Diceros bicornis minor: one gene and its partners. The protein of the gene in region 1 purifies or fractionates together with the protein of each later gene. This does not show direct contact. Links are inferred from orthologs where the notes say so. Each region holds a gene or a part of one and is shown in the gene's direction. Other genes may lie near its edges.

The links.
Region 2: the proteins of SF3A2 (region 1) and DNAJC8 purify together in Homo sapiens (affinity purification with mass spectrometry; 3 studies listed by BioGRID and IntAct, with this or other methods). This does not show direct contact. The link is inferred for Diceros bicornis minor from reciprocal best matches to the Homo sapiens genes SF3A2 and DNAJC8.
Region 3: the proteins of SF3A2 (region 1) and DHX15 purify together in Homo sapiens (affinity purification with mass spectrometry; 4 studies listed by BioGRID and IntAct, with this or other methods). This does not show direct contact. The link is inferred for Diceros bicornis minor from reciprocal best matches to the Homo sapiens genes SF3A2 and DHX15.
Region 4: the proteins of SF3A2 (region 1) and SNRPD3 purify together in Homo sapiens (affinity purification with mass spectrometry; 4 studies listed by BioGRID and IntAct, with this or other methods). This does not show direct contact. The link is inferred for Diceros bicornis minor from reciprocal best matches to the Homo sapiens genes SF3A2 and SNRPD3.

Annotation. Positions count from the first base shown.
Region 1 is NW_026691553.1:1,550,948-1,558,368, forward strand, and holds the start of SF3A2 (splicing factor 3A subunit 2), read left to right. Parts: upstream 1-4,394; 5' UTR 4,395-4,484; intron 4,485-7,421. Other genes in the region: PLEKHJ1 (pleckstrin homology domain-containing family J member 1), read right to left, coding at 2,193-2,258, 2,357-2,420, 2,499-2,589, 3,428-3,494, 3,587-3,654, 3,758-3,851. UniProt on the Homo sapiens protein: Component of the 17S U2 SnRNP complex of the spliceosome, a large ribonucleoprotein complex that removes introns from transcribed pre-mRNAs.
Region 2 is NC_080752.1:43,651,749-43,659,086, reverse strand, and holds the start of DNAJC8 (dnaJ homolog subfamily C member 8), read left to right. Parts: upstream 1-4,325; 5' UTR 4,326-4,351; coding exon 4,352-4,429; intron 4,430-7,225; coding exon 7,226-7,327; intron 7,328-7,338. Other genes in the region: ATP5IF1 (ATPase inhibitor, mitochondrial), read right to left, coding at 36-183, 1,656-1,747, 1,840-1,926. UniProt on the Homo sapiens protein: Suppresses polyglutamine (polyQ) aggregation of ATXN3 in neuronal cells.
Region 3 is NC_080747.1:19,849,705-19,857,395, reverse strand, and holds the start of DHX15 (ATP-dependent RNA helicase DHX15), read left to right. Parts: upstream 1-4,677; 5' UTR 4,678-4,774; coding exon 4,775-4,845; intron 4,846-7,691.
Region 4 is NC_080774.1:28,860,878-28,868,179, reverse strand, and holds the start of SNRPD3 (small nuclear ribonucleoprotein Sm D3), read left to right. Parts: upstream 1-4,266; 5' UTR 4,267-4,623; intron 4,624-4,693; exon of another isoform or gene 4,694-4,787; intron 4,788-4,973; exon of another isoform or gene 4,974-5,058; intron 5,059-6,299; 5' UTR 6,300-6,317; coding exon 6,318-6,443; intron 6,444-7,302. Other genes in the region: protein GUCD1, read right to left, coding at 160-244, 3,529-3,571. UniProt on the Homo sapiens protein: Plays a role in pre-mRNA splicing as a core component of the spliceosomal U1, U2, U4 and U5 small nuclear ribonucleoproteins (snRNPs), the building blocks of the spliceosome.

The DNA of each region.
Region 1 (7,421 bases):
GGGCAGACCCACCAGTGCTGAGCAGGCCTGGCCGCTGCCTGGAGCCCTGGTTTCCGTGGGCGGGCCCCACTTCCCTGCTTGACTGGGGTAACACCCTGCCCAGAGCAATAGTCGAAGCCGAAAACGGTGCTTGTGACGGGCTCTCGGAGCTGGCCCGTTCTCCTGTAACTGGCCACCCTGGTCCCTTCCCTGGGGGTTGGTGCTCTTGGTGCACGAAGGTGCTGTCCCTCACCCCCGTGAACCCCTTGAACCCCGTGCCCCAGCCCCCAGGACAGGGCAGCGTTCGCCTGGCCGCTCCGAGAGGGTCCCTTCAGCTGCCCTCTCCATGTCAGGAGCACAGGGCTCCTTAAAAAGCTGCAGAGCTGGCAGGAGAGGAGCCGCAGCACAGCCCTGGCCTAGAACCAAGCGACCCTGCACACACACTGCGTCACTCGTGCGGGCTCCTACCGACGTGCCATATCTCTCCCCCCAACACCCGCGTCTGCGCACACGTGAGGCCGGGCACTGACGCCCACTGCTGGGGATCCATCAGCCGTGAGCACTCGGGAGTCTCCTCTCTGTGCCCACCCTCCAGTCTGAGCCCCTAGGCCCTTCTGAGACCAGCCTCCTCGCAGCAAGGCCCCCGGCACACGACTCGGGCAGCGGGCTCTGGTCTCTGGGCGGCACTGGATGGAGCCCTGGTCCTGCTGTGATGGCGGGCACCTTCAGGGAAGCTAGCGGGCTGCAAGGTCGCTTTGCTCAGGAAACCCTAACAACTAGGACCACCCACCGTCAGGGGGGTCAGCCTTTCCTCCCTGCTGTGACTCGTGACTTATTTAAGACCCCCACCCCTTTATTTATCCACCGGCTGCAGTAGGAGACGGTGTTCGTCCCGCTGCGTCATTCTCATTACACGGTCCATCCACACCGGCTCATTTCTCATGTCTCGACCTTGATTTGTAACTCACATGGGCTTTGCTTTGTTTTCCTGGTAGACTGTTTGGGTTGGGGGTGCTGGCACGGCCTGTCCCTCTCTGGGCTGGTGGCCTGACCCCCTTTTCCTAAGGGAACTCCCTGCACCCTGCATTTCCACCTTGAGACGCTGTAATAAAATATTTGTTTTCACTCGAACCTGGTCTGGTGGCAGCGTTTCTTCCTAATCAAGACGTGACAAGGTCTTGGAGAACCCAGAGGGCCCCGGGCTGTCCTCGCTGTCCCCAGTGGGGAGGACAGTCACTCCAGCAGAAGCTCCTCGTGCTCCTGAAGACAGCCGCTGTGACCATGGCAGACAGATGGCGAGCCCCCACCTCAGGGAGGCCCAGCCCCACCTCAAGGGCTTACACCTCACAGGATCAGGCCCACCCAGAACGGCCTCCCTTTTGATTAACTAAAACCAACTGATGAGAGACTTGAACAACATAGGCCAAACCCTTCCTGAGGGTCCTCCTGCACCCAGGGGAGGCCTGGAAAGCAGGGGTGGGTCGCGGGTCACCTTATAATTCCATCACACACTCCCTCCGTTCTTCCTCAGGGCCCCCCGACTTCCCCAGCTCTGGTTCCAGGCCTCCCTTGGTTCGAGGAGCCTGGCCCCAGCCTCCCAACCACTTAACCCTCAAGCCTGGACAGGACCTCTGTCCCCACGAGCCTCACTTCCCTCGGGAGCTGGCTCCGACCACCCGGGACCACGAGCCTGTGGACACGTCCCTCTGCAATCACCGCACCACCGCCCCATGTGAAAAGAGGTACCTTTATTCAAACAGAACGAGCACGCCAGCTCGAGGCGTCCGGCCAGGGTCTGCCCCGTCAGCAGGTGGAGAATTCACAGTGGCCCAGGAGGCACGGGCCCCCTGCCCTTCACAGCATCGTCTAGCTTTGTACATTCAGCCTGCACAGGGCAGGAGAGCTGTGCCAGCCCCAGGCGCCCGCCAGGCCCTGGATGGACGTGCCCGAGGGGCCAGGCGCAGCTCCTGGGAGTGGACGCTCGTCCCCGGCAGCAGCATGTGGCACCGAGAGGTACTGGGCCAGTCCAGTGGGTCCCGAGGCATGGGGAGGGGGACTTGCTGCCCACCCCCACCAGCCTCGAGATTTTGAAGTCTTTAAGCCTAAACGCCTCCCGCCGCAAATCCAGGTGTGGCCAGGAAACCCAGGGCCCAGCGAGGTGAGGAGGGCGTGCCCCAGCCTCAGCAGGAAAGCCAAAGAGCCTGAGCCCGGACTCATGCCTGCAGGCCGCTCAGCTGGAACCTGGCCTCCTCGGATATGCCGAACTGCTCCAGGGGGTCCTGTGTGGGCGGGTGGGTGGGGCAGTGTGAGCCCAGGGCCCAGGAGGCCCACAACCCCAGCCCCTCCACCTCCCCCACACCCCGTGCCCCTCGCGCACCTTGCCGGTCATTTTCTGGATCTCGTTCCTGTAGAAGATGAGGCTCCTCCGCATGAACTCGTAGCTGGGGAAGAAAGCAGCGTGCGCTCACAGGGCCCTGCTCTGCCCCTGCCCGGGGCCCCCACGCCAGCCCGCAGCCCACCTGGCTCGGCGCAGGGCCGCTATCCACTCCTGACACTGCTCCTCGCTGCCGCACTCAAAGTGGTACTTCCGCTCAGGGTCCCCGATGAAGCCTGCAGAGGGAGCGGCCCCCCAGACAGCCACAGGCCTTAGCTTCCTGTTGCTGCTGTCCACAGCTGTAGCCTCTCCAGCCCCAGCCTGCACTCACCACTTCCCGCCAGCTGCAGGTTGAATTGCATGCCCCCAAAGGACATATCCTAGCTCCTGGGACCTACGAATGCCGCTGTATTTGGATAGGTGGTGGTCGCAAGTATAATTAGCTAAGACGAGGCCACACTGGAGTGCGGTGGATTCTAATCCAACAGGACTGGTGTCCTTATAAAAACTGGACATTCAGACATAAACAGGGGAAAAGGCCACAAAAGATGGAGGCAGAGACGAGGTGATGCTCCTACTAGCCAAGGGATGCCAAAACTGCCAGCGACCCCCAGAAACTAAGACAACATGGGACAGATTTCTCCCTTGTAAGAATCCTGCCTGCCGACAACCCGATCTCGGACTTCCGCTCTCCAAAACCGAAAAAGTGAATTTCTGCTGTTTAAGCCCCCCAACCTGTGGCACTTCGTTAAGGCAGCCCCCGGAAACTAGCAGAGGCTCCATCTTCCCCTGCATACTCCACACCCTCTCCAGAGAGCCCAGAAGTAATCCTCCGGGGCCCCCAGCAGAGGACCGGGCACCCCGAGAGGGCACTGGTCCCCAACAAGAGGTGGCGTTCGGGGTGGCAGCTCGGAAGTGGCTGGGACAGGTGTGCCCAGCCTGGGACCCCAGGGGAGGAGCGCAGGGGAGGCGCCCGGCGGGCCCGGCGGACTTTGTTTCTGGGGCGCGGCCGGGCGGAGCTGGGTCTCGGCGGGCCTCGTCCCCGCCCCCCCGCACTCAGTGATGGACACTCACTGATGGAGAAGCCGCTGGGCTCTTCCTGGGCGACTCTGCAGTGCTCCAGCAGCAGGGCTCCGACGGGCTGGGGGCAGACGCGGCGATGGGGGCAGACTGCGGGGAGCCCGACCCGGATCCCTCCCCTCCCCTCCCCAGCTCCCCCCCCCGCCGCCCTACCTCGGCCTCATCCGTCCGGAAGTAGAAAAGGAAATTGACCACCAGCTTCACCAGCCGCCGCTTCACCACTGCGGGCACAGGGCGGGCTCGCGCGGACTCGGCGGGCTCAGCGGCCGGCCTCCCCGCCCCGGCCCGCCCGGCCCGCCCGCCCCGGCGCCCCGGCCCGCTCACCGCTGCCCTTCTTGGGGCCCCGCATGCCCAGCTCGGCCGCCAGCTCGGCCGGCTGCCGGGACAGCGCCTGCAGCTCCTTCTCGTTGAAGCGCATGGCGCCGCTGGGACCCAGGACGCGGAGCCCAGGCTGCGCCCTCTCGGCCGCCGTCCCCGCTCGCGCCAGAAAAGTCCCACGGCGCCGTCCCGGAAGCGCTCCCGGAGCTACTGCGTCTGCGCGCCCCCGGGCCGCTTATCCTGTCAATCATCGGTGCGTGGCCCTGACGTCACCCGGCCCACCGCGGCCGAGCGAAGCCGTCGTGGGCCGCACGGGATAGTGGGTGAGACGCACCGTCGTTATATATAACCATGAAGTAAGCTAGGCCCGCGTGGCAACAGAATAAAGCACCCCCACGACTGCTGGCACCCTTTACTGAAGCGGACAGGAGAAGGCAGATGTTGGGCGAGTCGCAGCCCTTCCTCCCGCGAGAACTGGCCTCGCGGGAATTAGAGGCGACCCAGAGGGCGTCGAGAGCCTGGTGCGCACGCGCACTTCGGGAACCGGCCCGCACTCTCAGCCCCGCCCTTTTCCCCTCGCGCCTCCAGAGCGTCCCGCCCACGTCGCCGGCGGATCGGGCATGCGCACACGGGAGGCCCTGCTCCGTTTGCCCCCGGAAGTGCTTCCTTAGCCCTTGGCGCGCGTGCGCAGGACGAAGTCGTGGCGGCCCCCGCGGCGGCTGAAAAGACAACGGTATCTCGTTGTCGGGTGCGGGTAAGGAGCGGCGCGGGGCGAGGGCGGCGGCCCCGGGGCCCGGGGTTCCCTGGAGGGGAGCGGACGTGGGCGAGGCGGGCCTGCGGCGGGGGGGCGCGGGTTGAGGGCCGAGCGGCCGCGGCGGCCCGTGCCCGGGGATGTGGGGCCTCAGCGTCCCGGGCGCCCCCTGCCCGTCGGAGCTCTCCCTCCAGAGGCCCGTGGGCCCTGGGAGCTCCAGTTCCCGTAACTGTGGGATCGGGGGCGCGGCGGTCCCCGCTCCAGGCCAGCTGAGGAATAAGCGAGGTTTGGGGGCAGAGTGCCCAGCCCCGCGTCGGGGGCGACCGGAGACCGTGAGCCCGCCCCGTTTGGCGAGCGAAGCCCGAGCTTAAATGACTCGGATGCCCGCTTCCTCCTTCTTCCCTTTGGCCGCGCAGAACCCCCGAGAGGAGCCGCCGAAAGTGTTCTGTTGGGCAGGTTTACGGGGATAGTAGCGTGCTCATCAAGAACTGTCATTCATCCCTGTTCCCTGGTCCCTCCCCAGAGGCCACGCCTTTAGAATTCTGGATGCTTGGCCTTAATCTTTGTAAAAAACTTAATTTTTTCTGAGTGTGTCGGTTTTAGACGTGACCTGCTGACTTTCTACCGTGATTGATGAGATTATTTCTGCCTCCCACCCACTCGCTCCAACGTCGCCTTCCATCCCTTGAACGTGTTTATAGAGCCTGAGCTTTAGCGAAATCATTAGTCCTGTATTTTAAAACCGAAAATATTAAGATGTTCATCTGTGTCATTTTCCTTGTTCTGTTTTTCCCCAAAAACTCATTAATTTTTTAATAATTTTTCTTTCAAAACTCCAACACCGCGCACACGTATTTTTGCGCAGTTGTGAAGAGCATGTCTTGGTAGCTTTTAAGAAATCCGTTGACTGATTTGAGTTCTTGGTTATCTGAAAATGGCTTTATGTATTCTCAGAGTTAGAAGTTCGGGTATAAAATTCTAGATTGAAAATCCGTGTGGAGAATTGTGGAAAGCGTTGCCTGCCTTACTGAGAGGTCTGGTCCCATTCGGGCTTCTGAACTTTTATTTCTAGCTTTGTTTCTGTGTCGTAGAAACTTAAGGGTTTTCCTTGCTGTTGTGAAGTTTCCTGATCTGTTTATTGAGGATCTGTTTATTTGTTGACCTGGGTGGGTCTGTTTCCTTGGAAGAATTAGGTCCTTTCAGTCCTGGGTTTTTTCGTTTCTTTGAACACATTCTCATGTTCTCTGTGTGATAACACTCTCCATGCTTCTTTCTGTTCTTCTTCTGGAATTTCATCTAGGTTCTTGTTCTGTCTCCTGTTTTTTCATTATTTGGTTCTCCCTTAGGAAATATTTTTTTAATTCTTATCTCTGAGCCCCGTGTTCCATTTTTTGGGGGGATCATCCGGTCTTTACTGTCCAAGGATTCATTCTGGTTTTGCTTCGCCTTGCTAACCTTTGGCATCCTGTTCTAGGGTCACGGTGCAGTAGATAACTTCCCGGACAGTTCAGGAGAACGTTAACGTTTCCTATTGAGATTTCATCAGGTTTCTGCTTTCTTGGCGACACAGCGATCCTTCGTGTCTGTATTGTCAAGTTGCCCGCTCTGCGGGTAGAGCCCAGTTTCTCACCTAGGGAGTCTCCCTGCTCCGTGGGCCCGGTGGGGAGCTGGTGTTTTCTTTGGGGCGTGGGGGACCCTAGCTGTCAGTGTCTGAGAATGCTTTCTCTGGCACTCTTTCCCCAGAAGAGACTCCTGCTGTCCCCTGGGCTGGGGGCTCCGGGCTGGGCCTCCCGCTGTCTGGACCTGGTGTGGGGGAGCTGCTGTTCCGTGGGCGGGTTTTGATGGAATCCCCTCTTTTCAGCCTGGCGCTCCCCCAGCTCTCTTGTCCCACTGTGTCCACATCTCTAAGCCAGGAGGCCCTTCATTCCAATTCTTCTAAGAATAAAACTGCCCTGCCCAGGGAGTCGAGGGTGCCTGGGTCTGTGACCTTTCTCTCATGGCAGAGACTCTCATTTCAGTTGCGGGGGGGGGGGGGGCGGGGGGGGGTAGCGTGTGTTCAGGGAGCTGTGAGTAACCAGCACTTTCAGTTTCCGATGGTTACTGGTTTTCACTCTCATTTGGTGAGCGGTTACGGATTTGTTTGGGTTTCCTGAGCCCATCAGCTTCTCTCAGCAGGTGCTTTCTGCGACCCCTGGCCCCCATGCGCATTTCCCGGCCAGCCTCCGGGACTGAGGAGCCCAGTCTGGCCGCTTAGGAAGGAGTTGGGCTCATCCTCAAACGGATCGGAGCTGTTGGCTTGGTTAACCTTGTTGCCTTCCAACTCACTTTTCCAGCTCCTCCCAGCCATTGTTCCAGGAGAATGTTCTGAAGGTGTCACTAACGCATGACAGGAACAGGACATCAGCAGACAGGTGGCTCTCTGTCCCGGCCCCCGCAGTGGTGCCGCGGGTCCCTCTGAGCTCCTGCCCTCGTTCCGAGAACACTCGTTGTCGTTGGTTGGTTGGTGTGATGACAGCCGTCCTGACTGTGTAGGGTGGTGTCTCACTGCAGTTTTCACTCGTGTTGCCCTGATGGTTCGTGACGTTGGGCACCTTTCCTGTACCTGCCAGCTGGCTGCTGAGTTAGTCAGAGCACACTCCCAGCCTCAGAGGCCCCCGTCCTCAGTGTTTGGGGAAGCGCCGTCCTCTCCCGGCCCTGGGAATCTGCAGGGGAGGCCTGCAAGTCACTCACCGGAGGGAGCCGGCTCCGGGCCCCCGGATTCACGCTCTGGGTAGAGGCTAGAGGGCAGGTAGTGCCTCTCGGCTCTCACATGCACTCCCCCTGTGCCAGCTTCCCGTCCCGAGGCCAGCAGGGAGGGTGGGGTTTTGCCCCTCGGGGGTGGGCAGTGCTCAGCCCGTGAGCTGCTGGACAGACGGCACG
Region 2 (7,338 bases), on another chromosome or scaffold:
TGATATGTAGCCATTCCATGGGGAACTGTGTGCACTTAATCATCATCATGATCTTTTAGTGTCTTGATCCTCTGCTTGTGCCGCTCAATTTCTTTCTGCAGATGCTCAATCTCCTTTACATGATGAGAGATCTCATCTTCATGGTGTTTCTTCAAGGCTGCCAGTTGTTCTTTAGTCCGCTTTCTACAAGGACACAGTCATTCTGGGTTTAATCCCAATCCTTCACCCCAAAGAGATCTCTATGCATAACCCATAATACCTAAGGCAAAGGACACAGGAGTCCCAATCCCATGCGAGTCTGGCTGGTCATCCTCTTCTACCTCCTTAAGCCCCACTACTGAAAGAATACACCATCTTAAGATGTATCCATCTTTAGATGACCCAAATGATTTCATTTTCCTGGTTCTAGTACCTGAAATTCCATCATTAATGAGCTAGAGTAGAAAACTCCAGAGAGGTGTGACAAATTTCCAATACCTTATTAGAGGAACAACCCAGAGAAGAGAATCCCTTTTTGTGGAAAAAAAGAGCAAAAGGAAGGAGGTCGACAAACGGGTATAGTTAAAGACAAATAGTCACATCCTCTCCCAATTTATCTAGGGCTTTCTTTGCCTAGAGAAATGCATGGCTCACTGTAAAGGCCAAAATGAAGGAAAAAAAAGAAGGGGTCTCTGCATGGTCAGTACTTGGCAGTCCAATTTAAGTCTCAAGAGGGGACGATTCAAACATTGGTTTGGCCACATTTGGGCCTCAGTTTTCCTTAACTGTATAATGTAGGGCCCAATTAGATGGTCTCTAAGGGCTGTACCTTGGCTCTCTGGTATGGCAGGTGCCATGGTGATGATTCTTAAGAGTGAGCAAGAGAGGGCAGAAGTGAACAGATAGGGCAAAGGAGAAGCAGAAGCGAGATTAGTCCCGTGCTGCTCCCCACCGTGAACAGAAGTCAGTAAAAGATAACTCAGGGCTGAAAAAGAGGGTAGACAGGCCCAGATTCTAAAGGAGAGAGAGAAATCTATATAGCCCAGCGGCTGGGCTGGGCGGGGCAGGGCAAAAGTCTCCAGGAAGTGTGTGTATGTGTGGATTCCAACCGTGAGCAGCTGCCACCAACCAGCTCATATGACCCACTCACTCTGGCGGAGACACGTGGGGGTCTAGAAACAGGTGAGAGGGTCTGAAGAGTCAGGGAATCCATCCCTGCGGGGCTTGCAAAACTAAGGCGTGTAGAGGAGAAAAGAGTGCGTAGAGGGGTGAAAGGTGGGTGAGGGCCGAGGGAGTCAGGCTCAGAGGGTCTGCAAGTATTGGACGGTCGGATCCGGGCACTCTGCGAAGTATCTGAGGGGCGTTTCGCACGACCTGGGGAGCATTCCACGGGTGGGGATGGTAAATGATTCAGGAAGAGTGGAGCCGTGGTTTGCGAGTTCTGGACACCCGCAGGTGGAAATGGCTGGCGTTTGGGGGCCTTGGGACATTTGGCAGGGCTGGGAGCGCCCTATAGGTGGCAACAGTCAGGACCTCAAGTGTTGGGCGTAATGGGTTCGGGGGCCCGGGAGTTCTGTTGGGGGATAGGGCACCCCAGGGCACCAGGGAGGGATGGGTGGGGCGACTGGAAGGCCCTGAGAGATCTAGGGCTGGACTCGGGACCCCGTGGGCCTCACCGGAAGTATCGTTCCTCTTCAGCCTGCTCTCTCTTTCCGAAGGCCCCTCCGCCCTCCCGGATCGAGCCCGCGGGGGCGTCGTGATCCTTTGACTGCGGAGAAAGACCGGGACATTGGTAAAGCGCGGAGGGGGAGATGGGATCCGCGCTCAGGGCTGGGGCAGCGGACACTGCCGCCGGCGTACCCGTTCGGAGCTGAAGCCTCGGGCTTGCATGGCCCTCGCGCCCCACACGCCGAGCCGCATCTGCGCCGCCAGAGCCGTGACTGCCATTGCTGTCAGTGCCGCAGCTCTCGGGTCACTGGAGGCGCAGCCTCTCTATAGGCGCTAACAGCGCTGATGGCCGGGCAGCCAATCGTTTCGGTGGAGAGGCGGGATGAACCTAGGAGTAGCGAATCATGAGAGGGAGGAGGCGGGGTTCCTGTAGTTCTCAGCGAATCGTGAGCGAGAGGCGGGCCTATTCTTAGCCAATTCCTAGCAAGGGCTCAAAGCCTAAAGGACTGGAGAATAATGGAGGAGATTGGAGAGGAAGGGGAGGAGAAGGTCAGAAGCCGGCATTTCGGCTCTTGGATTCCTCAGAGTGAGGCGTGGCATCCACTGCCACCCCACGATTCCAATCCTAAAATTGTTATTATTAAACAACCCAAAGGAAGTCTTCCTTTTCCTGGACTACTAGCGTCAATAAGATGGGTAATGGGCGTGGCGGGGATAAGTCCCGGATGCCCCGACTTCGGGTTGTTGGGAAAAAAATTTTTTATGTGTATGTATATGGTCTCTTAAGAGGTGTCAATGTTCTTTCGTTGCATTGACATTTCACTCTCAAGTCTCAGCTTAAGTGTCACCTTCTCAGAGAAACCTTCCCTGACCTCCTTAGTCATTCTATCATAGTTCCCTGTTTTGTTCTGTTTCTCTCTTTTTGCACTTTTCACCTTCTGAAGTTATCAGGGCCTTGATCAAATAGGCACTGAATTAATATTTGTGAAATGCATTAATACGTTAACTGTAATTTTGGCAATCTGGTGCAATGAAGTAGAAAAGAGCATAAGTAGAAGTCTAGGGAAGGCTTTGCCTTGATGTTCCTTCAGCCCTCTAACAAATGTGAACAAGACAGTAGTTTATAGCCTTTGCCTACCTCATTTTCTCTCTCTGGACCCAGTTTTTTTCTCTTTTAGATGAGAGGATTGGGCCAGATTATCTATCTTATTCATGATTATAAAAATACTTTCTTTGCCTTCTATGAAACTGTAGAACTGTTTTTGTTGATCATCTTTTGGTTGGAAAAAATACCAGTCCTAGTTTGTATGACTTAAATGGGAGGAAATGGCTGCAGGGCACATTTTCAAATGTTCACTGCAGAAAACTTGGAAAAACACAAAAGCAGAAGAATAGAAATAATCATCACTTACAAGCCCACTACCTAGTGATAATGATTTGGTGTGTTTCTAGAGAGAGAGAGATATATTTTAGGAAGATTGGCCCTGAGCTAACATCTGTTGCCAATCTTCCTCTTTTTTCTCCCCAAAGCCCCAGTACATAGTTGTATATCCTAGTTGTAGGTCCTTCTAGTTCTTCTATGTGGGACGCTGCCTCAGCATGGCTTGCTGAATGGTGCATAGATCCACGCCCAGGATCTGAACTGGCGAACCCCGGGCTGTGCAAGCAGAACACGTGAACTTAACTGCTGCGCCACCAGGCTGGCCCCTCCAGATGATATTTAAGTGCCATTCCTGTTTCAGAAACTCTGTTTCTAGTTCTCAGATACAGCTGTTTCTTAATTATCTCCTAGGCTAGGCATCAAGTAGAGGGTCTTTCTGTTTGTGCAAAAGATCCATTTAGGCACTAGGATGGCTACAATTTTAAAAAATGGAAAATAAGTGTTGGTGAGGATGTGGAGCAATTGCAACCCTCACACGTTGCTTGTAGGAATGTAAAATGGTTCAGCTGCTGTGGAAAACATCTTGGCAGTTGCTCAAAAAGTTAAATATGGAATTACCATGTGACTCAGCAATTTTCCTTCTAGGTATATATCCCCCAAAATTGAAAACTGGTATTCAAACAAATGCATGTACATGCATGTTCACAGCAACATTATTTCATAATAGCCAAAAGATGGAAACAACCCAAATGTCCATCAACTGATGAATGAATAAATGAACTGTGGTATATACATACAGTGGAATATTATTCAGCCATAAAAAGTAATGAAGTAATGATACATGCTATACCTTGGACAAACCTTGAAGATTATGCTAAGTAAAAGAAGCCAGATACAAAAGGTCATATATTGTATGACTGCATTTATATGAAATGTCCAGAATAGGTAAATCCAGAGACAGAACACAGATTGGTGGTTGTCAGGGGCTAGGAAGAAGGGGGAATGGGAAGGGACTGCTTAATAGGTGCCAGGTATCCTTCCCAGGTGATGAAATTGTTTTGGATCTAGATAGAGGTGGTGATTGCATAACACTGTGACTATACTAAAGGCCACTAAATTGTTCACTTTAAAGTGGTTAATTGTGTGTTATGTGTATTTCACCTCAATTAAAAAAAACAATTTACGAACGTAGATTAAAAGTGCCCCCTTAGGCTTCCAGCCCTTTAAGGGTCGCAAAGAAGAGGGCGGGGCTAGAGAGGGCCTGTAAGAATCACGTGAGGCAGCGCCTGCGCAGAAGAGTCACGTGGTGGCTGGGCCGGGGAAATGGCGGCTCCAGGAGAGAGTGGGGCTTCGGCCGGCGGAGGCAGCACAGAAGAAGCATTTATGACCTTCTACAGTGAGGTGAACGCCGAGTGAGGAAGAGTGGCACCCGGGCGACCCCGCTCGGGCCTGCTCTGCCAGCGGGTGAAGGCAGTGGTCCTCCTGGCTTGGACCGTTGGGCGGCTCCTCCTGTTCGGCCTTCGGGGCGGCGGGGGGCTGGGGGCGTGTGTACATCTCTCCCTGCTAGCTGCTGGGGGATCCCCTGGGCAACGGAAAAGGTCGGGGGAGGGGGGTCCGACGTCTGCGAGGAGACGGCGAGTGTAGCCAACGAAGTGCCTGGGCGCGCGCAGAGTTCCCCAAGTCCGCGGAGTCCGGGGCTGGCAGGGGCTGGGCCTTCCTGGGGGCGACTTAACCGTCTTGGCCCCCATTTTATTCTAAACAGCAGCGCTTTCTACACTTAGTTCTCTGTAATGAGTTGTATTAGTGGTTATTTCTGCCATTCGCGAACGCCAGGCACTGTGCATCATGCCAGGTAGGCATTATCTCCATTTTACAGATGACAAACCTGAGGTTTAGGGAGGTGAAATAATTTGTTCCAGGTCTTAGAGCAGATAGCTTGGTATCATGTTAGGACAGGAGTAGGGTTGGTCTGAGCCTCTTTTATATCGCATCTCCAGCGCCTAGTACATAGTGGTCGCTCAGTAAATGTATGTTGAGTAAATGAATGCATGAATAAGTGAAGAGCATGCCGTTTGGAGTCAGAGGACCTCTGATTGGATTTATGCAAGGCAGTTAATTTGTCTGCAATCGAACTCTTTCAAGGCATTGATTTTGCAGCTCCTCAGTTTCCACGTCTGTAAAACGAGAGTTAATATTAAAACAAGAGTTTTTTTTTTTTATAATTTTATTTATTTATTTTTCCCCCAAAGCCCCAGTAGATAGTTGTATGTCATAGCTGCACATCCTTCTAGTTGCTGCACGTGGGACGTGGCCTCAGCATGGCCAGAGAAGTGGTATGTCGGTGTGCGCCCGGGATTGGAACCCGGACCGCCAGCAGCAGAGCGCGAGCGCTTAACCGCTAAGCCACCAGGCCGGCCCAAAACAAGAGTTTTTATGAAGGTTAAAGCAATTAATGTGTATGGAAGGGTTTCATAAAATATAATAAAACAGGAGCATCTTTCTAAGAGTTAAAGCAAGGCTGAAGACGAACCTCGTAATGTTGGCGTGGATTTGAGGAGTGGAGTTGCTCCCCACCAGGCTGTGGACTGCTCAGAGTTAAGCAGCATGTCACATTCATCTTTTATGTCTGGTATTTGTAACAGTGCTTGTTACATAGTAGTTTCTCCAAAGTATTAACTTTAAAAACAGAAAGTAGCACATTCGTTATAGCCTGTCCTTTTGAAATGCCTGATTCCTTTGAAAATGTTGGTGCGCTGGTACCATAATTTATTGGCCTCTAATGACTACTTACTAATTATAGTGAAACTTGTTTCACTTACTCTCTCTTAGTTAAAAAAAAAAAAAAAGCAATCCTGGTTTGTTTGAATTGGACGGGGGAAAGAACCTAAAGGAGGACCCTTCAGTCATCATTCAACCAGTGTTTATTGAGCGCCTGACATGTACTAGGCTACTGCTTAGGTGCTGGAGATTCGGTAGTGAAGGACAGAGAGAAAAATCCTGTTTTCGTGGAGCTTGTGTTCTATGGAGAAGGATAATCGGTAAACAGATGTACAATATAGTGTCAGGTAGTGATAGGTGCTTTGAGGAAAAATAAGCCTGGGAAAGAAGGTAGAGAGTAGGAGGGAGTGGCATGCTATTTTAAAATGAGTGAAGAGGGAAGATATTGAGAGACAGTGTCTTTTTATGTTACTGAAATTCTTTCTAATCTTGTTTTGGCCATAGAAATAAAAATGTTATATAACACACCAGAGATTCATTCCAGTTAGCATTCTTATTCTGGCAGTGGCACCAAGGATGTTTTCCCAGGACTGCCTGGTGCCTGTTCTTAGCACTGTCTTCAAGTCAGGGATTTTTCTAATAACTCCATTAGAGTTAGGTAGGCAGAGTTATTTGCTCCCTCTCATATACATTTTTTTTTTTTTTTTTTTGGTGAGGAGATCAGCCCTGTGCTAACATCTGCCAATCCTCCTCTTTTTTTTTTTTTTTTTTGCTGAGGAAGACCAGCCCTGGGCTAACATCCGTGCCCATCTTCCTCCACTTTATATGGGATGCCGCCACAGCATGGCTTGCCAGGCAGTGTGTCGGTGTGAACCCGGGATCCGAACCAGCGAATCCCCAGCCACCGCAGCAGAGTGCGTGCACTTAACCCCTTGCGCCACCGGGCCGGCCCCTCATATACATTTTTAATGCTGCTTTTAGTATATATTTCAGTGTAATTATATTTTTCCTTTCTTAAAATAAAAAGTTGTAAATTAAGTATGAACACACACAAGTATATCTTCCGTCGTTACAGTGGAAGCTCCCAAGGTGGTGGCTGTGACTTATTTATCTTTGAATCTTCTTGATGCCTGCTCTGGAGTCAAACTGTTGGGGTTAAAATTCTGGTTTACAAGTTGGGTAGTTGGGAACAAGTCTGTTAACCTGTTTAAGTCTCAGTTTCTTATCTGCAAAATGGGGATAATAGTAGTCTCTACAGGTAGGATTGTTGAGAGGAATAAATATGTGTAAAGTTTTTACATTATTAAAATTCAGTAAATGGTAGCGGTTGTAATTATTCCTTAAAGTGTTTAGTAAAATATCTTGAACATTTAGACACATAAATGTTTGCTGAATGTGCCAGTGAGTAACTTGTTAGGATGACAATTCAGAGTTTACTATTGAGCTTTACTAATGAAGTTTTTATCCCCTTTATTTTAGGTGAAACAAATAGAGAAGAGAGATTCAGTTCTAACGTCCAAAAATCAGATTGAAAGATTGACCCGTCCTGGTTCCTCCTACTTCAATTTGAACCCATTTGAGGTGAGCTGTCT
Region 3 (7,691 bases), on another chromosome or scaffold:
TTTCTGCTACTGTTATATTTAAGTCCTGGGACCGGTCCTCAGTTTTCTCTGTCTTCCCACTGCAGGAGATGAGAACCTCTTCACACGCTCCCCAGAAGGTCTTCTGGTTTTCACACTTAGCTTTGAATTGCAGATTAATCACTCTCAGCCTTTCATTACCTCCCTCCAAAGTATCAATTCTACATAGCAATAGCCGTCAAATTCCAATGTGCTTATAGTTACTCTTTCCCCCATAATTTGAGAACAACGCATGCTCTTTCGCTGCACACCACATGCTCTTTCCCACAGCTGAAACTTTTAACAACTGCCCTGCTTTCTTGTGGTAGCTATATTCTACCTGCCACCACTGATTCCTTGTGGGCCAGCAACCAGTGGCCAACCCCCAAATCCAGTCATAGTGTCTGCTTTCTTGGACCATTCCTGGCACCAAATCTTTTAGGTTGAGTTCCATGAAAAGTACACATGAGGAAAAGATTAGGATTCACGAAGTTTATTAAGGAGTCCACAACGATCAACACCAGTGGAAGGGAAGAGATGAAGGCAGGATCAGACAGAGGGAAAAACTGTGCTGTGATGCTATTGTATAATAAATGATTTGACTGGCTTTTGTCCTCGGTTCCTGAGAGGTAACTTTTAAACCCCTGTAATTTCCCAAGTGATAGGAGTGTCTTTGTTATTTATGGTGGGTCTTTGGACCACATCTGAGTTTATGCTACTGAAACGATTCAGGATGAGGGCTGGTCATGTGAGAAAGATCAACCATGTGATTAAAGGGTTGAAGCTTTGAGCCTTGTGATATCAGCCTGACTTCCTGACCTCCAGCGAGGGGAAGGGGGCTGGTGATTGAGTTCAATCATAGGGCCAATGATTCAATCAATTATAGCTAGGTAATGAAACCCCAATAAAAACTCTGGATACTGAAGCTCAGTGGAACTTCCTGGTTTCTGAACATGTTGAAGTGCCAGGAGGGTGACATATCCTAATTCCACAGGAAGAAGATACAGAAGCTCTGTGTTCAGGACCCTCCCAGATCTCACCCTATGTGTCTTTTCATTTGGCTGGTCCTGATTTGTATCCATAATAATAAAACTGTAATCACAAGTATAGCACTTTCCTGAGTTCTGTGAGTCATTCTAGCAAATCAGTGAACCTGAGGGACTTGTGGGAATTTGTAGCCAGTTGGTGAGAAGGGTAGGTGGCCTGGGGACTCCTGAACTTGTGGATGGCATCTGGAGTGAGGGCAGTCTTGTTGGGGACTGTGCTCCCAACTTGTGGGGTCTGAGCTACCTCTGGGTGGTTAGTGACCAAACTGCATTGCAGTATAGAAGATACCATTATAACAATGGCCTGAGATGATCCCACAGAGAGCTCTGATGCTCTGAAGCTCACAGTTGTCCCAAGCTGGGGAGAGGGGCTAGGCGCTTATACCTCCACAATATATTCAGACTGCCCTTGGGCAGCTCTCTTTAGCCAATGAAGTTTTTGAAGGGAGCTGACAGCTGAAGGTTGTCTGCAGGTAGCACTCCCAGGAAGTGAGGGATGTTTTTCATTCTTGAAGCAGGATTTCCATGCCAAGTCACAGTGCCGACCGCACTTTGTAACTATTTCTATCTATTAAATGGTAGAGTGAGGATAGGGTGATTAAAAGCAGTAGTGGAGATTCTTTTGAATTTGTAAGCATTTTGCAGCTGAAGAGAATTCAGAGTGAGATTGGTGGGATGATCCTGGCAAATTCTCATGAGTGATCATATCGTTGTCCTACTTAAACCCTTTTGATGTCTTCTTATTGCTCTTGGGAAGGATAAACTCTTAATATCCTTAGCAGGACTCCTCAGGCTCTGCATGATACGGCCCCTTCTTGCATCTGCAAGATCATGTCATCTTCATCTCATTGCACTCATGTTGTTCTGTCTATGGATTGCACCTGACTTTTTAAAGTCTCAGGGCCTTTGCACAGGCTGTGCCCTCTGCCTGGAATGCTTTCCTTCCTCTTCACCTGACGAATTTGTACTCATTTTTTAGGTCTTTGTTTAAATGTCCCTTTCTCAGAGAGGTCTTCCCTAACCCTCACTCTGGATCAGGGCCACCTGTTATATGCTCTCATAGCACCTGTCCCCTTTAGATGGCCTTTTTAGCACTTATCTGAGCTGTAACAATGTAGTTATGTGTTTCATTGTTTCATGCCTGTCTCTGTCCCTCTGATAAGTGCCATGAAGGCAGGAACTGTGGCTATTTTGTTCTTTCCTCTCTCCCCAGCTCTTAACTCAATGCCTGACATGGGGATTTAATAAATATTTGGTGAGTGAATAAGCAAATGAAGTAATTAAAGGATAGATAGTAGTGATACAGGGTAGTGGTTAATAGTGTGGCTCTGGAGTCTTACTGGATTCAAATCCTTTAAATCTTGACTTGTCCATCGAAAGCTGTGTAAATGAGTCCTCCCCTTGGACAACGTAGAAACTTCAGTTTATCAGTTCACACTGAGTTCGTCAGATTGAGGGAACTTATCCTCAAAAACCTCGGAGAATAATGTGGAATAAGAATACCTATTCATCATCAGCGGCACAGCGTAGCACTTAAGCACACAAACTATCTGAGATGAATCCTAGAACTGTCATCTTTGCCACAATACTTGGCATTTTTGTACAGCAGTTTCCTCACCTGTAAACGAGTGTCAAAGTTGTTGTAAGGATCAAATAGGTTAAAATATATAAGAAACAGTGTCTGGTACCCAGTAAGTGCTTTCTATGTGTTTGCCATAATCATTATTGTTTATTAATTTAGGTTGGGAGACACCTCTGGCTTGACACCTAGAGCTGGTTAGCTGCATAAGACATTTTCTCTATTTGAATAAATTCATGCCACAGACCAAATAACAGATCAGAGGGTTGTCTAATAGACAAAAAGTAAGAGTAAAGGAAATATTCTCTGGTAACATTTCCAGGAAGCTGTAGGGGACCTTGATGGATGGTTCTTCTCTGCTATAGGGACAATTCTGCCTGAAAATCCAGAGTAAGTCATCTAGACCTCAGGGAGTGTGAACATCCTGGCAGATTCTGGCCCTTGGTTCCCCTTGTTGTAGATTCCAGAAAGGGCACTATCCTTTGGTAAATATGGCCTTTCTTCAGTCATTCAGGTTACACCAAAATTGATTAGGTTACACTTTTCTTTAGATATACCCTAAGCCCAAGGAGGAAGTCTTATTACTCTGATTTCAGTTCCTCCTTTACCAAGTCTCCCTGCTGATGCCTCTTAGGGTGGGGGCACTTCTGCAGGTAGAATTCTAAACTTTTCCCTCATTATTTTGCCAAAATTTTAGAGTACTTTATAGAAACCCTCAAACTGGGAATCTGGAGACCTGGGACTGGCATAGAGTGAAATCTGGATTTTAGTTCTGACTTTGACACTAACTTGCTGCATGAACGTGGGCATGACCTAGGGGCTCAGGTTTTCTTGTATGTAAAATGTTGCAGAAAATCAGCTGGAAATTCTTTTCCAGGTTTACAATTCAGCGATTATGCATCATGATCTCTGACTAAAGTCAGTATACATACTGTTAATGTACATTTAGGGTAGAAAGTAGCAGTGAATATTTTACGTGAAAATATTCACTTTTCTTCGCACTGACTTTGGAATGTGGATTTGCTTCAAAAATAAAAACCCTCTTTATCAGTTGCAATATTAAAGTTGTATTTAACCTTAGCGATTGCAGTTCTGAGGACTTGATAAGAACCTGAATATGGTCTTCCAGGGTAGCCAAACAGCCATTTCATGAACTACACAGATGACCCAGCTTGGGCTGGTCCACAGATCTTTTTCTTGTGCATTTCTTCTGGGAATGATTGCAACTGAGCAAGCAAATAGGTTCCGGTTGGAGAGATCCACAAAAATCATGTCATCTTACCCCATCACTTTGCTATGGCTTTAAGGACAGCCCTAATGGCTGTGTGACTTCTTAATCTCCCTCAGGCTTAGTGTCCACATCTATAAAATAACACCTACCTTGCAGGGTTCCTGTAACAATGAGGACAGAGCTCGGGTTAACACTGTGAAAGCCCATAATAGGCACACAGAAAAAAAAAAGCTTATTATGCCCTTACTGTCAATTTTCTTTATTCCAATAAAAATTACACCAATGTTGACTGCATGTTGCCCGTGGTGGGTAAAATAAGGCCAAAATGGATTATGGCAAGTCTTGAGATTTTTCTCACCTTAGTTTCTTAACTGCAATTGAGAGCATCTGGTCAGTGGCTGCAAGTTCTAGATCTGGAGTTATAAAATAGTTGGGTTCCAATCCTGGCACTCTGTCCCTTATCAGTTGTGTGATCTTGATTAGTTTCTAAACCTCTCCGGGTCTCAGAGTCCCCTAAAGCCAGGGTAATACAGACAGATAGGACTACACTTCCCCGCCTCTCAATTTCCTAAAACAGAGGTGCGCGAAGGCTCACGCCACCGAGCAGCTCCTCAGACGGCGGAAAGCACCCGAAGGAGGGCGGGCCAAAGAAGCCACAGGCGAGGCGGGAGTTCCCGCCTCCTATGCGTGCGCGCGCTACGCGCGCACGCAGAGCACGCTCCGGAAGCGCGCGCGCGCAGGCCCAGCCCTCGTCGCCGCCGCCATTTTAGCTCCTGGTTCCGGCCGCACGGTGTAAGCTGTTGTAGCGGGAGGGGTGGGGGGGGTCCTCCGGAGTTAAGTAGCTGCCCTCGACTGCGCCCATCCAGCCGCCAGCTTCTCTTTTTGTCTTTCTTCTCGACCGTCCGCTCGAAGAGTCCGAAGATGTCCAAGCGGCACCGGTTGGACCTGGGGGAGGATTACCCCTCCGGCAAGAAGCGTGCGGGGACCGATGGGTAAGCCAGGCCGGGGGCGCGAGGCAGCGGCTCGGGCTTTGTTGGGGTCCCGGCAGGGAGCGGGCCAGGACCGGCCGGGCCGAGCGGGCCCCGGAGCCCGACCCTTTGTTCCCTCTGGGCTCGGCTCAAGGCGGCGGGTCGGGGACAGCGGCGCCACTCCCGACGTTCGCCCGGCAAGGGCGCGGGATGTGTGGCGCGGCCGCCGCCCGGCCCAGTCGGGAGCGGGTGAGGCCTGCTGTGGCCACGAGGACGCCTCCTCCCCGGGCCGAACCAAGCGGCAGTCGCTTCGAGGGGAGCGGGCGGGAGGGAACCGCGGACCGCGTGGCCTGGCTTCCCGGGTAAGGCTTGGGGCCGGCGAGCAGGGTGGGGGAGGGCGCGGCGGGAGTATTCACTTCCAAGGACACCAGGTGCTCCTCAGGCAGAGGGGCCGGGGAGAGGGCCTCGACGGGCGGCTGGGGGGCCAGCAAGGGAAAGACGGGGGCGGAAAGTGAGAGAAGCGCTTGGATTCTCGTGAAGGCTGGGATGGGGGTGGCGGGAGTTGAGTGAGGCGTGCAGACCAGGAGTTCTCGGGGGAAGGGAGAGTCGAGGGCCTGCCGGGAGAAAGGAAAACGTGGAGTATACCTGATGGGCTGGAAGGCTGCTGGTTTGGAGCCTCTGAGTTTATAGTTTGGCGGGAGACCGCGTGCCTCGGTCCATTCAAACACTTCAAAGAAGATACTAGGCAAACTTCCGCTCTCTGCCTATGCTCCCGCCATCTCCTTTATTTCCTGCTTTGGCTAAAACAGTGGTTTCGGAGGATCTCTGGGATAAGCGTTAGAAGGCATTCATTTTTTCCAATAAGTTCTTGTTTTCTAACCCCCCACCCCCACCCACGTTCATAACCATCTTTTGAAACCCGATGCTTTTCTAAAATGTTTCTGGTATTTATGGAAAAATAGCGCCCTTGGGGAGGTTGTGAGTTGAAATACTCAGACTCGTAGTGTTTCAGATTCCTTTCCTTGAGCGTTTCCTTAAACGTACAGGGGAATTTAACAATTGACTTGAGCAGTTGCATCAGAATCTTGTCTTCTCCGGTATATGTGTTCATTCCTGAAATAACAGAGATTTATTTGGATAACTCAGGCAAAAATAGAAAAGTCTGAACATCCAAATACTTAGCATAATTTTATCATTTTATTGTGTGTGTACGTGTACAGAATCACTGTGTTAGGTCGTCTGTGTAACTTTTATATGAGTTTTTGTTCACCCAAAGTCCTTCATTTGGGTTGATTTCCAGGTATTTGTTTAATGTCGAGAGTATAAGCTGAGATAGAGTGTACTTTTTGATACCTTCCTATGTGTTGAATATGGAGAGCAACAGTATGTAACATTTTAGCCTTGTAAGGTTTTTAGTTTTCAATGTTAGACATTAGTTTTCTCTCTCTTAGGCTGTCTCCTCTCCCACTCCAATACTTTAGCTCATTTGAGCTACACTCACAGACTCATTAGAGCTGGAAATGACTTAGAAATGGAGACTCAGAGTTGTTAAGGTGGCTTGTGCAAATTTACGTGGTTTACAGCTGGATCTAGAACCTTGATCTTTTCATATTCACTCTTAGCCTCTTGCTTTTTCCATTACAGCACACAGTCTATGACTGTAGTTAAGAGTCATTACAGCCGATTTTAATGACATTTAGAATGGGTTGTTAAAGTAGGGAACACTTGGTTCTTGGTTTCTGTGAAGCAAAAATAAATTGCTTGTCTGCTGGCTAAGATGCAACTGATAGCTCTCACAACAGTTAAGATTGGAACAAAACATGCTGGGAAGGAATGAATTCACTAACTCATAAATGTGTGTATGTGCACCACTTAAACGCTTTTTTGGGATTGGTGGTCCCATATGTATGTGGGCTTGCTCGCTTTCTCTTGCAAAACAGATATCCTAAGTAAAAATGTGGACTTTTTAGACCTTATGATTCTCTTGGATATTATGTGGCATCTACCTGTAGGTGAAGGAGAGTTCATCTTTGGAATAAAGTCCGAGTTCTGAGGTTCTGGAGGGAAGTTTGTATACTCAGTTCTATGTCACTTGAATGTCATTTCTCATAGAACTAATTTTCTTTAGCACTGGGCTTACAATGTTTATTAGTGTTCAGGTCTTTTTTTCTTTAATATTTGATAATTTAAGAAGTCGCTTTCGCTGACTGCCATGCAATCTTGCAAGTTTTGTTTTTGTTTGTTTTTTAAGTCCTGGTAGTTAGCAGGTGGTTTTTACTGAGAGGGTAGGCTTGTTGGTCTTGTGAACTCCACTGCCAAACACTGCTGTCCCATTTCCCCAATACTGAGAGGGGAAGGTAATTCCTTGGGAGATTTCACTCATATTCAAGCTCCCAAACTATATATGGCTTTATTTATTCCTGATATATTTTAATTTTGGGGTCAGGTAGAGAAGTTAAAGGTTTCTGTTATATAGTGACCTTATTCCTTTTTCTATCATCCCACAAAATTTTCCATATAAAATTATTACCAAAAGACAACTTACTAGTGAAGTATGGAAAAAACTTTGAAAATATACTGTGCTCCTGAAACTATTCTAGGTGCCTTATGTGTATAAGCACATTTTCACTACATTCTTGTGATGTAGGTAGGTGATGTTAAGTAACTTGACCCAGGGAACGCAAGAAATGTCCATACGCAAAGATATAAAGGAAAAGGCAAAAAATTTCTTGAAGTCTTTGTGCTTATGCTTAGTCCCTTGAGGAACATTTTTTTAGATCTCTGCATTTTATTCACAAATGTGAACTATCATAATATCAATGGGTTATTTCAATATGTGTTGTTTTGTGCTTTGATTTTTATTCACTCAG
Region 4 (7,302 bases), on another chromosome or scaffold:
TTTGCAGATGGGACTAAGCCTGGTTGGAAGCTGAACTTCCCACAAGCCCCAACAAAGGACAGCCACATGGATGATGAATCCCACCCAGGTCTCTCCCTCTGTCTTCCCCAACCCGGAGAAGGTGGTGTGGATGGGGAGGGCCTCAGCCTGCCCACTCACCGCAGCACCATCCTGGAGCAGGCCAGGCCACAGTCCCAGTGGTAGAGCTGCTGGATGATGGGCACGGGCAGCTGCACAAAATCCCCTGCATGGAAACACAGGGAGGTCACAGACCCTTGGCATAGTGCCCACCACTGCTGCCCCCATTGGAGCCACCGTCTTTGGCTCCTGCCCAGATCTTGCAGGGGTTGTTCAGGGGCCAGCCCACAGCCTTTCAGGCCCCCCGACCCTTTCTCCTTACAATAGCAGTGATCTCCCAAAACACCAGTCGGAACAGCTCAGCCTGACTCAAAATCCTCCAGTGGGTTGGTTCCCATATCTCTTAGGACAATGCCTTCAAGGCTGCTGCCCCAGCGCCCTCTGCTTCCTCACCTCCCCTCATCCTCAACAGGTCACCCTCCAGGCAGACCTTCAGCTGCTGTGATCCCCTATGCCTCTGGGCCTTTGCATACCTACTCCCTCTGCCTGGACTCTCTTGGCATCACAGGCGCCTGAGCTAACTCCTGTCTTCGGACGTCACTTCTCCACGACGCTGCCCGTCATGCTCAGCCCCCCCACTCTGTGCACTCTCAGAGCAGTGGGAGCTCCAGGGAGGCAGAGATAGGGCCAGCACATGAGAGGCACTCAGCAGATATTCATGTCTGAATTCACGAGGCCTCTGGAGGTTTGCCTGACTCCAAAGTCCCCTGGGCCAACAATGTGTGAAGACCATAGTTAGGAGGAAGGGACTGTAAGGTGATCAGTGTATGTGGAAAGCTATCCTCGGCAACCGCTCAGTCTGTCCTTGCCAAGCAGTGAGGCGGAGCAGAATGGGCCAGACCTAGGCATTCTAGCCCTGGCTCTGTCACTGGCTGGCTGTGGGCTGAGTAGCTGACTTCCTCTTGCTGGTCTGGGTCTGGCCATCTCTAAAGTGGGGGACTTTGGTCTGATTCAGCCATTCGATCAACAAATATTTCCCAAGAGCCTGGCACATAACTGGAGATACAGTGGTGAGAGACATAGACAGGGCCCTGTCCCGGTGGACAGCAAAAACAGGCAAGTATAAGAGAAAAACAGGGGACTAGACTAGGGAAAAGGGTGAGGTGTGCCTTAGAGAGGCAATGCTCAAAGTCTCCTCCTCTAAGAGGCTTTTGCTGACTATGCCTTTGCTGTAGGGGGGGCCCTCCTTCACAGCATCCTGTTTGTTTCCTTCACAGTACTTAATAAAAGTAACAACAAAAAAAAACTAAAGCTACTTTGTCTCCCCACTAGACTATAAGCTTCCTGAGGGCAGAGAATTTGCTAATCTTGTTCACTGTTATTTCCAGTGCCTAGTGTCTAATGCTTAGTAGTAACTCAATAAACATTTGTTGGAAGAAATGAACTTATTAAACACCCACTGTGTGCTAGCCTCTGGGGACACTAAAGGTGACCAAGACCCAAGCCCTGTCCTCCAGGGATTCATATTCTAAAATAATTCCCCCCAATGAGCTGAGTGGAAGGAGAGCTCTAAGTAGGGTGCTGTTCCCTCATGGTGGGATACCTCCCTTATCAAGAACCCCTCACTGTGGCCATAAACTGCCCTTTTTGTTTTTCTCTACACAGGCTGTTTACTCCTCAGCCTTTGCTCTTGCATATCCCTTAGTCAGACTGTTATCTCCCATCTCTGAATGTCCAAATGCTCTGGTTTCTTTCCCTCTCTGAGCCCTTCAATATGGAGTATTTGAGGTGGTGTCTGCCTTCCCCACCAGACAGGCCAAGAATTCCTCAGTGACAGGCAGGGACAGGGTTGCATTTGTCTCTTCCCAGCCCTAGGCCCAGTGCAGGCATTCATACATGCTCGGTGATTGGAAGGCGTTTTTCCAAAAAGGCCTTATCCCTTGCGATGTCTACTTGTCACTGCAATGCTCCCCCACCCAGGCTTCCAGACTATGGACCTCTGTTCACAGCTCCCTACTTACTTTGTGGCCTGGGCTCTCACATCAGCTAGCTGGGCCATCTTTGGCCAGGCTTTGACTCTGTCTGTGCCTTCTCCTATGCCTAGCTGTAAATGTGGCATAGGACAGCTCTCTGTAGGGCCCTCAGGAACTCCACTGCCCCTCCTCTTCTTGCCCCAATCCCTAAAACACCTTGATCCTGAGACCCGGCAGGGCTATACATCCCCACCTGACCATCCCAGTCTTGGCAGGGGCAGGTCAGCCCAATGGAACTCAGAGATACTCCTGTGGGGAGTGATAAGGGTAGGTGAGGCCTTCCAAGCCCAAAGCTGCTGCCAGTTGTTGATGCTTGGAGCCAAGGGACTGTCTCACCTGAGAGCTAGCGTCTGCCTGGAAGGCCCTGGCCTGGCTTCAGTTGGCAGGTGTCGCCAAGGAAGGAAGGCAGCTCACTGGCCCTGGATACTTAACCCCTCAGCCTCAGTCTGCTCATCTGCAAAAGCGCAAATAACGATGGTAACCTACTTCATGGGGTCGTTATGGGGATTAACGAGGCACTGCATGTAAACAATTTAGCACAGTGCCTGCCCATAGAAAGCTCCCCACGAATGTGAGCCATTACTCCACGGAGGCTCAGGAAAGGCAAGCGCCTGGTCCAAGATCACAGAGTTGGAGGAGTAGGGATGCAAATCCCAGGACAGCATCAGACCCTACTCCTTGTTGTAATCACAAAAGAGACCACTCCCTAGGTGGGACACCATGGTCCCACTGATGCCTTAGGGTGGGGCTGGGCATGCTCTTGACCTCTCCCATGAGCTGGTACCTCACTTTAAAGTTTACTAGCTTTAGAGTTTACTTTCTCTTTCTCATCAACCCTACACCTCACCCGGAGCAGGAATCACTACTTCCTCCCCCACTTAGAGAAGCAAACTGTGGCCCACGCACTGGATGTCAGTCTTGGTTTCCGCCCTAAAGGAACTCAGACCACCTTGGGGCAGAAGGAACCAGAGGATGAGGACTGTAGCAAGACTAAAGGCTAAGCCGGGGAGGCCAGGGGAAGGGGACCTCCCACTGCTGTGTTCTCGGCCAGCTCCCCGCCCTTCTAGGCGTCAGTTCTCCCACAGTTCCCCTAGGGGACAGGATCTACCTGCGGCTCCAGCAGGACTTTTCGCTTCGGGGAAGGTGGCGCCCCTGCCTCACAATCAGGACCCTCCCATCACGACCGCTATCAGAACTACTGGGGTCCCAACCCTGGGAGTAACAGGAAACACCAACTGATGGCAGCTGGGGAGAGTGGGGGCCCAGGCGGGAGTGTACACCTGGCCAGGTTTCACTCAAAGCTCTACAGCCTGAGGCGGCGGTCAGCCCAAGGTCGCGCAGCCAGACCCTGCCCCGAGCTAGGGCGGGGTCCCCTCGTTCCCCGGGGTGAGGGGTGGGCCCTCGGGGAAGCACTGACCGGACTCGAGCGGCGCCCCCGCTGCCTCCGCCTCCGTCCTCATGACCCGGGCGGCGCGGGGCGCCCATGGCCCCGGCCCGGCGCCGGCTGCAGCTTCGCCTTTGGCTGGGGCGCGAGCGGGGCCGGCGCGTGTCGTGCTCCTCTGCCGCCACTGCCACCGCGGTGGGGAGAAGGGGAGGCGGCAGCTGTGCCGCCCCAAGCCCCGCCCCGGCCCTTCCAGGCCTGGGATCCGGGGGCCCGCCCCTTCATTAAGCCCCTCCCCTCCCCTCCCCTCTCCCCGAGTCCTGTTCTTAGAGGCCCCCAAGCCTCCTGCTCTAAGCCCGCCCCCGCCTTTCGCTGTCTCGGCTTCTGGTGGCCCCGCCCCTTTCCCAGCCCTCGCGCAGACGCGCAGGCCCTTCTCCGCCTCCGTTCCCCGGAAGCCCCGCCCCTTTCCTGAGCCCCGCCCCTAACCCCAGCGTTCCAGGAACATTGGCTCCCCAGAGGCTCTTCCCTTAGCAAGCTCCGTGTCTGCCCAGCCCCAGCCTCAGGTCTAAGGTCTGGTCCTGCCCCATACACCGCGGGCCTCGGGAGACCACGACCCTGGGCCTGCCCCCGCTCTACTCTATACCTGTTTCCCTATCCGTACGGTGAGATAGGTCGCCTCAATCAGGACGCCCCTTACCTAGAGGTGCCGGGTTCCAAAGATTAAATTGTGAGGGGAGGTCTTGGACCCTCGGCCCCACTGCCTGCCGACCCCGATCCCCGCCTTGCGGTGCAGTCCGTCCCTGGTCTGGGGTGCTAGGAAGCGCGAGTCGTCCTCTCCCCTTGCCGCCCCGGGGGTCGGTGTTTCCGGCAGTACCTGGGCCCGGTCATCAGCCGTCCATTCCGGGGCCGGAACTATCATACTAGAGCGCACGTTTCCTAGCCGGCGGAGTGAGGAGGAAGGAGAGACGAGACCGCGGTCACCGCTAGGAAAAGGAAAGGGGCGGGTCCTGCGCGAGGCATTTTGGGAACGCGTGGTATTCTGGGAGCGCGGGCCCCGCCATTAGTTCCCCACACGCTTACGCGTTCGCCAGAGTCCCTGCCGCCCTAGAAAGGAAGAGGAGGCCGGAGCCGGTGAGGAGAGGCCGGGGGCGGGCGAGGGTAGGCCGAGGCACCCGTGAGGGCCCGGGGGCTGGGGAAGGAGGCGCTGCCGACGAGCTCTGCAGGGCTCGAGGAGGGAGAAGAGCGGAGAAGGCTGGGCCACCCGAGCATCAGCGGTGCCTCCCTAGCGCCTGGAAGTGAGTTCATTAGCTTTTCCCCAGAGTACATGTTCTTCGCCTTCTATACCTCTCCAAGTCAGTGTTTTTCGAAGCATCCAGGCAGTAGTCTTGAAATCATTCCTGGCTGGTTGCCTCCTTCCCCAAATCCTACCTGGGTAATCTTTTTCAAAGTTCTTTGCATCTCTGCCTCCATCCCCCTTTCAGCCGCTGGTCCTCTCCTGCTTTCCACGCTGTTACAGAAGTTCTGTCAAGTTTCCCTGCTTCTAAACCGTGTTCGATCCATTTTGTTGTAAGTGCTGCTGCCTTTTCATTTGATCATTCCTTACCTATAATCCTGCAGTGATTCCCCGCTGCCTTCAAGTATAAAATCTAGACTCCTAAAGCTCCTCACCAAGGGAACTTGTCTTTCCCAACCTCGTGTTCCCTTTCCTGTCTTGACCACACATAATATGTTCCAACCTTCAGTCGTTGCTCACCTTGGAATAAAAAGTCCACTGCTTGTCTCTTCTGTGACATCAAGTCAGTCACTTACCCTGATTATATTTTTCCTACCTGGATTTCCTGCACATTGTCGCTTTGTGAGCACTTTGTATTTTCTTTTTAGCCTTGATGGTGAAGTAAGTGGAGGGTCATGGGCACTTAATGGGTTGAATTGAATGCACAGCCTCTTCTACCAGATTTGCCTGGATCCTTTGGTCTGTATCTGAATTGCCTGATACTGTACACATGTGCCCAATACTAGTACCCACATGTAGCCACTGAGCGCTTGAAGTGTGGCTAGTGTGACTGAGGGACTGAATATTTTAATTTTATTTCATTTTGATTGAGTTTAAATAGCTACATGTGGACTGTGGCTACTGTATTGGACAGCTCAGGTCTATGTCATGAGTTCTCAAAGTGGTGTTAACCACAACTATGGGTTGACAGATACCTTGTATGCACGTTCATTCCAACCCCCTTTCCCCCAACACACAGTATGGTTAATGGTTATTTGATGAAGATAAAGGGACATATGGTAGCAGGGAGGGAGATGGAAAGTACTTTCTTTTCATTCCCAGGCCCCCTCTTTCCCCCTACCCCACATCTTGCATGTGTTTGCCAGATAGGGTCCTCAAGCTAGGAGTTAAGCTCTATTTTTTTTTTTTTTTTTGGTGAGGAACATTGGCCCTGAGCTCATATCTGTTGCCAATCTTCCTCTTTTTGCTGAGGAAGATTGGCCCTGAGCTAACATCTCTGCCACTCTTTTTCTATTTTGTATGTGGGACGCTGCCACAGCATGGCTTGATGAGTGCTGCATAGGTCCGCACCTGGGATCCGAACCTGTGAACCCCGGGCCGCCTAAGCAGAGCATGCAAAGTTAACCACTAGGCTACTGGGCTGGCCCCTTAAGCTCCTTTTTTCTATAGAAAGTGCAGCTTTGGCATTTTTACTAAGTTTTATGGAGTGTCAGGCCTTGAGGGAGGCATGGTGTGTGCTACATGCCTTCTCAGGCTCTGAAAGATGGACTAACTGTTGTCTGTTTCACCGTAGAACTCTCTTCCTGCCAAGATGTCTATTGGCGTGCCCATTAAAGTCCTACACGAGGCTGAGGGTCACATTGTGACATGTGAGACAAATACCGGTGAGGTGTATCGTGGGAAGCTCATTGAAGCGGAGGACAACATGAACTGCCAGGTATCTTGCTTTGCACATGAGGCTGGGGGGAAGCTTGGGCCTCTGTCTTGGACAGAAAGATGGTGATTGGAGGTCTTTTTGAAGTTGTTCTCATTCCTCGGTTATTTATTGAGTGCCTGATGTGTGTTAGGAACTGTTATAGTGGCTGGGCATTTGGGCATAAATAAGAGCCATTGGGAATATTTAACTTTGTGCTTTGTTTTCTCCATCCCATAATCATTTTCTTCCATATTTTGGAGACCTGTTTAGGAAACATAGCTCTACTACCTTCAGTAGAATCCGTCAGGATCGGGGCCATTATCCATTTGCCCCTACACATTTGCGTAATGCTTGGTGCTAAGCAGAATCTTACACTCACGTGCTATGTTTGCCATTTTTCTTGGAGGAGGCATCTTGTTTGATTATAGCAACTACCTTGTGAGGTAAGCAGAATTGGTGATAGGTTTGTCATCCGTATAGTAGGGAGAATAAGATTAATAGACTCATCTACTGAATGTCAATCTGCTAATAAATGTTGGGGCAGCTTCCTGATACAATGCCCTTCCCGTGGCACGATTTTGTTTGCCTTTTGCTAATAATCACGTGAGTTTGTATAACATTGCTTTACAAAGTGTATCAGCACACTTTCTCTCTTGTTCTTTAAACCATCACATGTGGGTTTAAATCCTAATTGTCTAATCTTAGGCATGTTAATCACCTCAGTTACCTTATCCGTAAAATGGGAATGGTGTTATTTTGAGTTGTCTGAGATGTAGATGCCAAGACAAAATTAGTTGTGCAAGAGACTTATTGGAGGAACTGACAATAAAGGAGAAGGAGTAGGGGTAGGCAGGAGAGTTTTCAGTCTAGGATACTGGTC